3 linked regions of the Mus musculus genome follow. The protein of the gene in region 1 purifies or fractionates together with the protein of each later gene. This does not show direct contact. Links are inferred from orthologs where the notes say so. Each region holds a gene or a part of one and is shown in the gene's direction. Other genes may lie near its edges. The genes, in order: Git1, Grk2 and Nck1.

Region 1 (2,576 bases):
AGGAACTTGCCATGGATGTGTATGATGAGGTGGATCGGAGAGAAAATGATGCTGGTGAGTGGTAAGAGATCTGCTGTAAAGAGCAAGGACACAGTAGACGTAAGGGACCTGCTGCAAAGAGCAAGGACCCAGGGAACCAGGGGAACGGGGTACTGCTCTGAGACCTACTGGGGTGAGTCCCTGCCATCCCCCACTGGGCAGTAGGAGCCAGCTGCCTCCCTACCCACCAGGCACTGGAGCTCATGTTGCTCTGGCTGCCTCCCATTCTGGCTGTCTCCCCAGCCATGCTCCACCCCTACCCTGCATCACTCCTTCCTGGCCACAGCCAGATTCCAACCCAAACTCTGGGTCTGGCCTGGTGGGCCCTGCCTTGTTGTGTTGTCAGTGGGCGGGGCTCACAGGGTGTGGCCCAGCTTTTGTGTTCGTGGAGACCCTGCTTCCTGTGACACTGACCCAGTCAGAATAGAGGGCCTGGGGGGCTCTGCTCAGTGCTTCTCTGAGGGCCCATTCACCATGGGTGATCTGCTCCCTGCCCTTCCCCCACAGTGTGGCTAGCTACCCAAAATCATAGCACCCTGGTGACGGAGCGCAGTGCTGTGCCCTTCCTGCCAGTCAACCCTGAATACTCAGCCACTCGGAATCAGGTGAGGAGGGATAGGTGGGAGGCCTGGGTGGTTTCCTTTCAGTCTGAGGGCCCTGCCCTTCTTTAGCCAGAGACAAGCTGGCACCCAGGCAGGCTCTCCCAAGGCCTCCCTCAGAGTCTGACTAGGAATGGGATGGAGCTATTCTCTAGTACTGCTGGGTATTTTAGCCTCCTAAGGGCTCCCTTGGGTGCCTTAAGGCTTTGCTGACCTGGGCTACCACCCTGCTGATGTTGGGCTGGGTGTTTTAGCTGTGAATGGATGGGATGGCAGCGTCCTGCTTTGCTATTCTGTTCCTGCCCCTGAGCCAACCAGAAGTGGTCCCTCATGCCGGCTTTGTCCTTTCCGCCTTGTAGGGACGACAGAAATTGGCCCGTTTCAATGCCCGAGAGTTTGCCACCTTGATCATCGACATTCTCAGTGAGGCCAAACGGAGGCAGCAGGGCAAGAGTCTAAGCAGCCCCACAGGTGGGAGCGCACAGGCTAAGGCACTGTTGCAGGCCCTGCGGTCACCTTTGCCTGGGATCTTGATAAATGATGTGTGTGGCTGAGCAGGCCCAAGTGACAGGTCTTCTGTCTTTAGACAACCTTGAGCTGTCTGCACGGAGCCAGAGCGAGCTGGATGACCAGCACGACTACGACAGCGTGGCTTCCGACGAAGACACGGACCAGGAGCCCTTGCCCAGTGCAGGCGCCACGCGGAACAACCGTGCCAGGGTCTGACACTGACCCTACTCTTCCCTCCCGTAGTCTCCTCTGTTCCTTCTGGCCTTTAGACCCAGTTCCATGTTATACATAGCCCAGCTTTGGTCAGCCTCTGTCCCCAAGACTGACTGGCTTCTGTCCCTACAGAGCATGGACTCCTCAGATCTGTCAGATGGGGCAGTGACACTGCAGGAGTACCTGGAGCTGAAGAAGGCTCTGGCTACCTCCGAGGCCAAGGTGCAACAGCTCATGAAGGTCAACAGCAGCCTGAGTGACGAGCTGCGGCGGCTGCAAAGGGAGATCCACAAATTGCAGGCAGAGAACCTGCAGCTTCGGCAGCCACCCGGACCAGTGCCTCCACCCTCACTTCCCAGTGAACGGGCAGAACACACCCTCATGGGGCCTGGTGGAAGCACCCACCGCAGGGACCGCCAGGCCTTCTCTATGTATGAGCCAGGCTCTGCATTGAAGCCCTTTGGAGGTACACCTGGGGACGAGCTCGCCACCCGGCTCCAGCCTTTCCACAGCACGGTGAGTAGCCTGTTGGCCTTGGTGGGGGAAATGAGGGTCACACTAACTCTGACACTGCCCTGCTCCCTCAGGAGCTCGAAGACGATGCCATCTACTCAGTGCATGTCCCTGCCGGCCTTTATCGGGTAAGCAGGACCTGGGGAAGGGTGAACCCTGAACCCGTGAGTCACCAGCCCCAGTAGCTGTTAAGCTACGCGTGACAGACACTGAAGTACAGGTGGAGACTGACTCTGGCCCTGTCCTGGCTTTCAGATCCGGAAGGGGGTGTCTGCCTCTTCTGTGCCCTTCACTCCCTCCTCCCCACTGCTGTCGTGCTCCCAAGAAGGAAGTCGCCACGCGGTAATTTCCATCCCAGGGCCCAGGGGCAGTGTGTGGGCTACACAGGTCCAGGAGTGTGTGCTCACCCATCACCCCTCCCCACCCTCCAGAGCAAGCTCTCACGCCACGGCAGTGGTGCGGACAGTGACTATGAGAACACACAGAGTGGGGACCCTCTGCTTGGGTGAGATACCTGGGGGTCTCTACCCAGCCCTGTGAGCGCCTGGAGGGGAGGCGGTGAGGGCCCAGCATGCAGGTGCAGAAGCCGTCAGTGGCTGGAATGGCTCCTTTCCCCTCCTACCTGAGTTAGGCTTGAAGGGAAGCGATTCCTAGAGCTGAGCAAGGAGGATGAGCTGCACCCTGAGCTGGAGAGCTTAGATG
Region 2 (4,093 bases), on another chromosome or scaffold:
TTCTGAAGGAGTCAAGAAGTCAGGGGAGTCGGGATACTTGCTTTGCTGGACACGAACTGGCAGGAGAATCAGGTTCTAAGTGTCCATGCCTGGGGTGGGAGTGTCCTGGCAGCCTGGAAAGCAAAGAGGTGCTCTAGAGAGGTGTGCAGTTTAAATTGCTTTCACTCATTTGCTTAAGACGGGGTCTCACTCTATAGCCCTGGTTGGCTTTGACTTTACAGAAAGACACCTGCTTTTGCCTCTCGTGTGCTAGCCAGGTAAAGTAGACAGGAGTTGGCCAAGGAAGAAGGCACAGAAGGGCTCAGTGGGTAAAATGTTTGCCACCAAGCCTGAGGACCTTGAGTTCCATCCCTAGAGACCCATGTGGTAAAAAGAGAGAACTGATGGTCAAATTGTCTGTCCTCTAACCTCCACATGTGCATACACAATCAATCAACTGATCAGTCAATCGATCGATCAATTAATGAGTTCGGCGTTCATCAGAGTGTGGTTTAATGGACTATGCCTTTAATCCATTTCAGCACTTGGGAGGCAGAGGAAAGCAGATCGCTGTGAATTAGTGGTCTGCCTGGTCTACATAGTGAGTTACAGACTAGCCAAGGCTACACGGGGATACCCTCTCTAAAACAAGAACAACAACAAACGTTCATGTCAGGAGTGCGGCCCAAGCTCTGAGTCTGGGGTCCTGTTGGGAGTTTGAAGTCAGGATTGTCATCTGGTCAGGTCAGGAGTCAGGGGTGGTAATGATGGTGTGACTCTGAGAGAATGTTCAGAAATTTGAGTATAGGAGTCTTGGTCGGTGTCAGGATTCTTGTTAGGACCCACGGTCTTGGCCCTAGTGGAGCGTGCAGTCTAGCATGCTGAGATGGGATCCGCGTTTGTGGTCATGGCTTGGGGTCTGAGGTCATCCTAGAGTCCTTGGTGGAAGACTCAGGTAACAAACCAGGACTGAGACCCGTGTCTCGGACCCGAGCGGTGCAGCCTCTAGGGGGCGCTGTCGCCTGCCCGCCCGCCCGCCGCCCGCCCGGCTCGGCCCCTCGGCGGCTCGCTGGCGCTGTGCGCGGCAGGCGGGGCCGGAGGCGGCGGCGGCAGCTCCGGGGCGCGGGCGAGCGGGTGGTGGTGGTGGTGGCGGCGGCGGCGGCGCCCCGACTGCAGTCCCGGCGGGAGCGGAGCGCGAGCCGGGCCGGGCCCGAGCCGGCGCCATGGGGCGGCGCCGCCTGTGAGCCGGCGACGAGCGAGGACCGGGCGGGGCGGCGGCGGCGCCGAGGCCCACAAGCCGCGCGGGCCGGGCCGGGCCGAGCGAGCGGGAGCGGAGCGGAGCCTCGGGCGGCGGGAGGAACAGCGCCGCCGCCGCCGCCAAGATGGCCGACCTGGAGGCGGTGCTGGCCGATGTGAGCTACCTGATGGCCATGGAGAAGAGCAAGGCCACGCCGGCCGCGCGCGCCAGCAAGAAGATCCTGCTGCCAGAGCCCAGGTGAGCCCGCCTGTGCCGGGCCCCACGCGCCGCCCCGGGATCCCGTGCCCTAGGGACCCCCTCCGCCCCAGGTTCCGGGGACCTTCTGCCCCAGGACCCGGGAACCCCTTCTACTCCGGGGACCTTCTGCCCCGGAGACCCCATTATTCTGGCCGCCCCAGGACCCGGAGACTTCCTCTGTCCCTGCCGCCGCAAGGCTTGGTGTCCGCAAGCCCTGGGCGCCCCAAGTCCAAGCTCCTAGCCCTGGGCCGCCCTGCCGCTTCCTGTATCTCACTGCCCGGCCTGGTCGCTGTCAGCCCCTGACTCTGCTGCAGCCTTCTTTCCACCCTGATGCTTGGCTCTGCCCTCTACCCTCTCGTGTTCCCTTGTGGTTCCCTTCCTCAAGTCTGCCTCTGTTTACCCGATTGTATCACACAGTCTGTTGCTCCCGTTGGTATTCCACTACCCTATCCACTCCCCGTGGAGTGGGTAACACTCTTGTGAGGTTTGTGGAGTGAAGAGGACCAATTTGAAGACTTTTATTTATTTATTTATTTATTTATTTATTTTGCCTTCCCCTATGGTGGGGTCACTATGGGATTGGGTTTGAGAGTGCTTTCTGGGGACAGTGCAGTGTACCATTCCTGAGGGCTGCGCTCCGGTGGGTGAGGGAAGTCCCTACTTTACCCTTTTCCCCACTTGTGGTTCCTTATGGGTACTTTTGACCAGGGGACCTCCCATCCTACAGCAGATGGACCATGCTGCCACCTCTCTACAAGACAACTGATGTCATCGCACCTGGTATCAAAGTTTAAACTGTCCAGGATGTGGGTGCAGAACAGGGCAGGATGTGAGAGGTGTAGCTGGGGCTTGTCCAGTATATTATGGTAAATAGACTTATCTTCCTATTTGAGCTGCACAGGAGACCAGAGAGCGAGTGAGACAGGTGTAGTTTTGTTCCCATAGAACAAGGTGTGTGTGTGTGAGAGGGGAAACAACTCAGACTGGAATGGCTTGTGCAGTGTCACCTGGCCTCCACATCAGGGCTCTCAGCTTCGAGTTTTATGTTTTGTCCTGACCTGAAGGGTGGCCTGGACGTCTGTCCTGCATCTGGAAGAGGAGATGTGTCCACCCACCAGGATGCCTCCTGGTGGGTGGTGAGGCCAGTCCCAGTAGCCTCCCATGCCAACTCCTTTAACAGCCAAGAGTTGGCCTTGATTTTACTGTCATTCTCTGTGGTAGAACATGCTCTACCCCCAGTGGGCAGTGTGAAATAGGCCTCTGGTGTCCTCTGTCCTTAGAGCCAGGTGGGCAGGTTGCGGGCTTGCTGCTGTGCCTGTCACCGTGCCCCCTCCTCCAGTGGCTGCACACTGGGTTTCAGTTTGACTGAGAACCAAGCCCTGTAGAGGAAAAATTGGTCTGTGTTTTGAAGAGGCCGTTGGGCCCCCCTTTTTTCTAAGACATTTGCAATCAGATTTCTCAAAACAGGAACTAGACTGAGTGTCAGCTGGGGCTGTCTAGGGGCAGCAGCAGTTAGGATGAAAATGAGTTCAGAAATGACAAAACTTAAAGGGAAGAGTGGGGGAGGGGCAGTCCGCATCTTGGGCTTGTAGTGCTCTCCTGGGCGGCCACAGCCATGGGGTTCTTCTGCAGGTGGAGGTCTGCAAAGTTTAAGGTGGTGCCTTTTCTAGAACTCTCTGTGTCTGGACAATCTTTCCCCAGAATGCATTGCTCCTAATAGACCCTACCTCCGGTCGTCTCCTTGCTGGTGTTCAAGAACCCTGAAAAACGAGCTGTACCTCTTTCTTTTTACCTTTTCATATGGTGGCAGTTGTGATGTGATGTGATTGAATAAGAATGGAAAGTTTAATAATTCATTATTTATTTTGACATCTGTCATCTCAGTTGATCCAAAAACCAACATGTGAAGTTGGCAAGGCCAACAGTACCAGGATGGGGTAATAGCTGTGAACAAAATTGCAGCAGGCTGTGAGTTTTAGGAAGCGATACCACAGGTGCAGGGTCACCATCAGTAGGATGTTGTTGGGCCAACTGCTCAGTCTGTGAATGGTTAGGAGCCTCTAACTCTGCCCACTGGTATGCTCAGACAGTCACCCTGCAGTGCTGTGGCCCTAGGCATGCAAGCCTCTCATGATGGAAGGCAGGTTCCCTACGTGGTGACGCGCTCTGCACACTATTGAGGCAGGTATCTCTCACCCTTGAAGGTAGTTGTGATCGTGTCTCATGTGTGCCCAATATATCCCAATCTGTGAAGTGTCTTGTCTTCACAACTCTGGGACGCTGGCTGACCCAGCAGGTGGTATTTCTTCATTTACTAACCGAGCTTTGAGGCTTGTCACACAGAAGATCTGGGATTGGGTCACAGGTCCTTGGAGTCCCAACCACAGTCTCTTCCTGTCAGTGCTTTGTCTCTTTCCCCCACTCCCATATAATTGGTTTGTGGGATGGGATGGCTGAAACCACTTGTCGTGGGAGCTGTGGGTCTGGGGTGGTGGCCTGAAAGTAGCAGGGCAGTTTCTGGCATCATCAGCTGTCACGGTATACAAGACCCAACCCTTCTGCCATTTGCTGAAACACAGGCTGCCCTGGCAAAGCTAGTGTGTAGATAGGAGGGACAGC
Region 3 (4,445 bases), on another chromosome or scaffold:
GCTACATAAACCAGGGTGGCCTTGAACTTGCAGAACTTGAACCTGTCTCTGCATATATATATATATATATATATATTTGTCTTTTTGTTTTTTGAGACAGGGTTTCTCTGGGTAGCCCTGGCTGTCCTGGAACTCACACTCAATCTGTAGACCAGGCTGGCCTCGATCCACCTGCTTCTGCATGCATCACCCCCTTCTCTTCGGTATGTATGTTTTTAAATATATAATTTGCATTACTTACTTTTGATACTAACAATAGGCAGAGTATCCTTTCCCCAGTTTTATGTTCTACTTTTCTCAACTAAACTCAGGATTAAAAGGGGCTACAGGTAACTTGTATTTTACCTAGGGCAGGCCACCCATGTATTTATTAACATGCAATTAAGTTAAAAGCAGAAAACAACTTTTTAGGATTTACAGGTAGGGCTTGTAGTATAGCTAAAGGAAGGGGCTGAGATTCAGTGATTAAGAGCGCTGGTCTTCCAAGGGGCCTGAGTTTGATTCCCAGCACCCACAGGGTGGTTCAAAACCATCTGTAACTCCAGTTCCAGAAGATCCTATACCCTCATTTGACCTCCATGGGCAGCAAAATTATACACAAGTATAACACAAGTACACCAAACACTCGAACACACAAAGAATAAAAATGAATTTTTAAAAGATGAAAGGAAGCTGTATTAATTCCTCGATTGTTGAGGATGATGTGCTAGGCACGAGGTGGGCGTGGGTGAAACAGTTCTTTTAATAGACTTTGCAATCTAGGTATATGGGTGCAGCTACGCTGGAGGCAAAAACTCGTGTTTCCATAAAATTACCTAACCTAGAATGTTTCTTTTAGGTGCCACACCCACACTAAGCAACAAAGGTGATTGGGAAATAGTGAGGCAGGTTATGAGTCGCTGTAAGGCAAGTTAGGAAGGAGAGCCGATTTATTGATGCCTTCCTTGGCAGGTGGCTGGGACTGTGCCACTGCCATACTCACCCCTAGGGCAGAAGTAACTGTCCTTTTCACAGGACTGGAAGCCGGGAATGAAGGCTACCCACGCGCCAGGGCACTCGGAAGTTGCTCGCAAAGCTTATTTTGGTTGTGGTTTTCATTAACAAACATCTTACATTTTTCCCCCGAGGCTTCATTTTCTTTGTCGCTCCCTGTCCCTAAGATCTGCAGCTGGTCGGCCCTTTCAGATGCAGGCACCAGAGTAGTCTGGGTTGAACTCGGGACCGCTGTTCGACATTAATGAGCGATTTAAAATGAATGACAGGTTTTAGTAGCAGTGGGAGAGGCGGAAAGTAAGCAGCCACCGAGGAGGCTAGGGGAGAACAGGGCGGTGGGGCCCGGCGCTCCTCACCTTCTGTCCAAAGGCCGCGCAGTCTCAGCTCAGGGACCACTCAGGGCCCGCGCTTGATTGACAAGCCCGCTCGCCCAATCCCGGAGCGGCGCATTCCGCTGAAGCGTCAGGGGCGGGCGCAGGAGGCGATGGAGCCTATTAGATTGGGCGTGGAGCGGGTTTCCTGCCCGCAACGGTCCGCCCACCGGTTGCGCGCGCCCCGCCCCTCTCCGAGAGCTACGCGGCGGCGCAGCACAGGCCTCGTGCGGTAACGGCATCCGGGCAGCCGCGGTGGCGTCCCGGTGCGGTCCTCAGGTGACTGGAGCCGAGGGCTCGGCGGAGGGAAGGTGAGACGGCCTCGCTCGCGTGCGGACACACGCACAGTCCTTTCGGTCTCCCGGTCGGTCCGCTCTGCCTGCTAGTCTCTAGTCGCTTCCTCTTTCCCCGGCGAAGTTGGCCCGGGGGCGCCGTCTGCTGGCGGCGGAGCGGAGCGGAGGGGGCGGGGAGGCCGCTCGGCGGAGCTCGGGTGTCCGCGGTGCAGCCCGGTGACCCCGCGGCCTCTGGCCTGAGCTGCGAGCGCCGGTCGGGGAGGCGGGCAGGCAAGTGTGCGGCGCGCTGCCTCGGCGGTTCTCCGCAGAAAGCCCTGTCGGCGGTCTGTGTCGGTGTCCGAGGCCGGGACGGTAGGCTGGCAGGAAGGGCGCTCTCACCTCCAGCCGCCAGCCTGAGGAAGCCGAGAGGGGGGACATCCTCGGGGCGCGCCCTCCCCTCCCCCTCCCGTTCCGGAGCAGGAGAGATGTGGGTGTCCGGGGGCTGTTGAGGTGGGGTTGGTCCAGGAAAAGCAGTCCTCTGGGTTGGTTTCGTACTGTTGTCGTACGGGTTTCCGTGCTAGGTCGGTTCAGTGTTAACAGCTGGGTTGGAAGGAAGCTGGTTTTTTGTTCAGGGTTGAGGACCGTAACATGACCGGTTAACGTCGAGCCGAGCTGAAGTCACCCGAAGAAAAATACTGCCCTTAGTTAGGAAAGAATTCACAGGAGTTAGGAAAGAACGAGATGAAGAAAACTTCCTGACCCCATCTTGGGTGGGGAGCAGTGAGAATCCAGGGTTCGGCCAAAAAAACGGGTCAAGTTTTGCAAGAAGCGTTCCATTTTCAAAAGCTTTGGTAGCTTGATGATGATCAATCAGCCTTAACGGTTTCTTAAGCACCTGGAAATCAATTGTGTGCTTTCAGCCTTTAGCGACGTCACAACATGAACAGAGAAATAGTCCAAGGAGAAAGTTTTGATTGATCATTTTCAGTCTTGTTTTTAAATAGATATTCTCTTCACATCGTGATAGTTAAGTCAAAGCGTATGCGTTGGTTGATTAGTACTTTTTTTTCATCGTGGCCACATGTGGTGCTTTCTCTGGGAAAACTTCTGTAGGAATTGGCTAGAGTAACTAAAGCGTACATTGTGTTGATGTCTCCGCTGTATGTATGAGCATTATGTTTGAAAAGATTTGCCTCCCCAGCAAGCATTTTAAATTGTTTAGGTTTCCAAGCCCAACAGATCCGTGTATTAATAAGTCGACACGTTAATGTATTGCCTTATTAAACATTGAGTGATAGTTTATGCTGCTGATTTTCTAATTTGAGAACTTCGTTCTAGAGTTCAAGGCTTGTTGTGATTATTATTGTAAATAAATTCCTTCTCAGGAGAACTTGAAAAAAAATGAATTAACTCTGGCAATGTGGAAGAATGGATGCTTTCAATGCCAGAAAATCAAATGATTATTTCACTGTTAAGTAAAATTGGAGGAAACGTGAACTGAGCATTTAACAAATCCAACAGTTTGACGACAATTTGACAGGCCTGCCTGATTCTCACTTTAACCTATCAAGGAAATAGAACTTCAAAGTCTTCCCTTCACAACTGATGCCCCACGCCTCCAAGCTGTCTTTCATTAGCGATACATTAGTAGCATGCTTTCAGGAACCCAGACATAAACCTTAACATTGTACTGTTTTTTTGTAGTTGTTTTCTTTAAAAAAAAAATCTTACCTTTGTATTCTTATATATTGTTTTTCAGTTTCTGAACTACTCAGTAACTCTAACTGGATTTTCTGCCTGGAGGATCTCAAATGTGTTCTGCCTGTGCTGATCTTAAAATAATACTTTGAACATATTTTTCACTGTTTAGACACTAGTAATATCTTTCCTCTAGATTCCAGTCTTTTAAGGGTTTATTTTTATTTTATGTGTTTTGTAGTGTTTTGTACGACATGTGCTGTGGACTCTGGGGACAGAACAGAGATCCTCTGCAAGAGCTCTTAACCACTGAGCCATCTGTCCTAATACAGAAACATTCTCTGCAAACTACTAACTTTGCAAAGGAAAAGTTCGCTAAGCTTTCCTTCTTCCTTAATTTCCTTCCTCCCTTCCCCGCCCTCTCTTCTCTTTCCCTCTCCTGTCTCTTTTGCCTTCCCTCAGTTTTGGGGTGAGACCAATGGCTTCTCATAAACCTTTGAGGTGTATCATCAGTCTAAAGTTCTATTTTTTAAAAAAGTGATTGGTTATTATATTTTCTACACCCAGAGTCAGGACAGCTTGTGAGGGGTCAGTTCTCTGTCCCCCACAGAGGTCCCATGAAGTGAACTCAGGTTTTTAGGCTTGGCTGTAGGTACCTTTAACTACAGAGGCATCTTGACACCCATCCAGAGTTACATTGTTTTACATATTGTTAAACATTTTTAAAAAGTGTGTGCTTGTATGTATGTTGAGGGCATGATATGTGCACAAGAGGCAGGTGCCTGAAAAGGGAGGCCAGGAGAAAGTGTCAGATACTTACAGGGGGTCACAAGCCTCCTGTTGTAGGGAATCAGCCTTGGATCTTTTGCAAGAACCATACTTGAATTTAACTGGAGACATCTTTCCAGTCCCTAGAAATTTAATTGTGATTTGAGTGAAGGTTGTCAAGATTTTCTGTTACCTATGTTAAACTGAGTCTTTGTTTGTTTGTTTCGCACGCCCTCTTTCTTTTTAAGTTAGCGCACAGAGCGGTGTGTTTTGTGATGACATTTGCTTGTGTAGTTATTGCTGTGCTTTTTTCTTAAACATCCTTTCCCCAGCTGACTTTTTT

What was found.
Region 2: the proteins of Git1 (region 1) and Grk2 purify together in Homo sapiens (affinity purification with western blotting; 4 studies listed by BioGRID and IntAct, with this or other methods). This does not show direct contact. The link is inferred for Mus musculus from reciprocal best matches to the Homo sapiens genes GIT1 and GRK2.
Region 3: the proteins of Git1 (region 1) and Nck1 purify together in Homo sapiens (affinity purification with mass spectrometry; 4 studies listed by BioGRID and IntAct, with this or other methods). This does not show direct contact. The link is inferred for Mus musculus from reciprocal best matches to the Homo sapiens genes GIT1 and NCK1.

What each region holds. Positions count from the first base shown.
Region 1 is NC_000077.6:77,503,375-77,505,950, forward strand, and holds part of Git1 (ARF GTPase-activating protein GIT1), read left to right. Parts: coding exon 1-54; intron 55-546; coding exon 547-644; intron 645-997; coding exon 998-1,109; intron 1,110-1,224; coding exon 1,225-1,358; intron 1,359-1,493; coding exon 1,494-1,877; intron 1,878-1,948; coding exon 1,949-2,002; intron 2,003-2,129; coding exon 2,130-2,216; intron 2,217-2,305; coding exon 2,306-2,379; intron 2,380-2,505; coding exon 2,506-2,576. UniProt on the Homo sapiens protein: GTPase-activating protein for ADP ribosylation factor family members, including ARF1.
Region 2 is NC_000085.6:4,303,283-4,307,375, reverse strand, and holds the start of Grk2 (beta-adrenergic receptor kinase 1), read left to right. Parts: upstream 1-1,153; 5' UTR 1,154-1,361; coding exon 1,362-1,474; intron 1,475-2,182; exon of another isoform or gene 2,183-2,254; intron 2,255-4,093. UniProt on the Homo sapiens protein: Specifically phosphorylates the agonist-occupied form of the beta-adrenergic and closely related receptors, probably inducing a desensitization of them. Key regulator of LPAR1 signaling.
Region 3 is NC_000075.6:100,543,225-100,547,669, reverse strand, and holds the start of Nck1 (cytoplasmic protein NCK1), read left to right. Parts: upstream 1-1,535; 5' UTR 1,536-1,565; coding exon of another isoform or gene 1,566-2,213; intron 2,214-4,445. Other genes in the region: Gm46139 (synapsin-1-like), read right to left, coding at 1,566-2,213. UniProt on the Homo sapiens protein: Adapter protein which associates with tyrosine-phosphorylated growth factor receptors, such as KDR and PDGFRB, or their cellular substrates. Maintains low levels of EIF2S1 phosphorylation by promoting its dephosphorylation by PP1.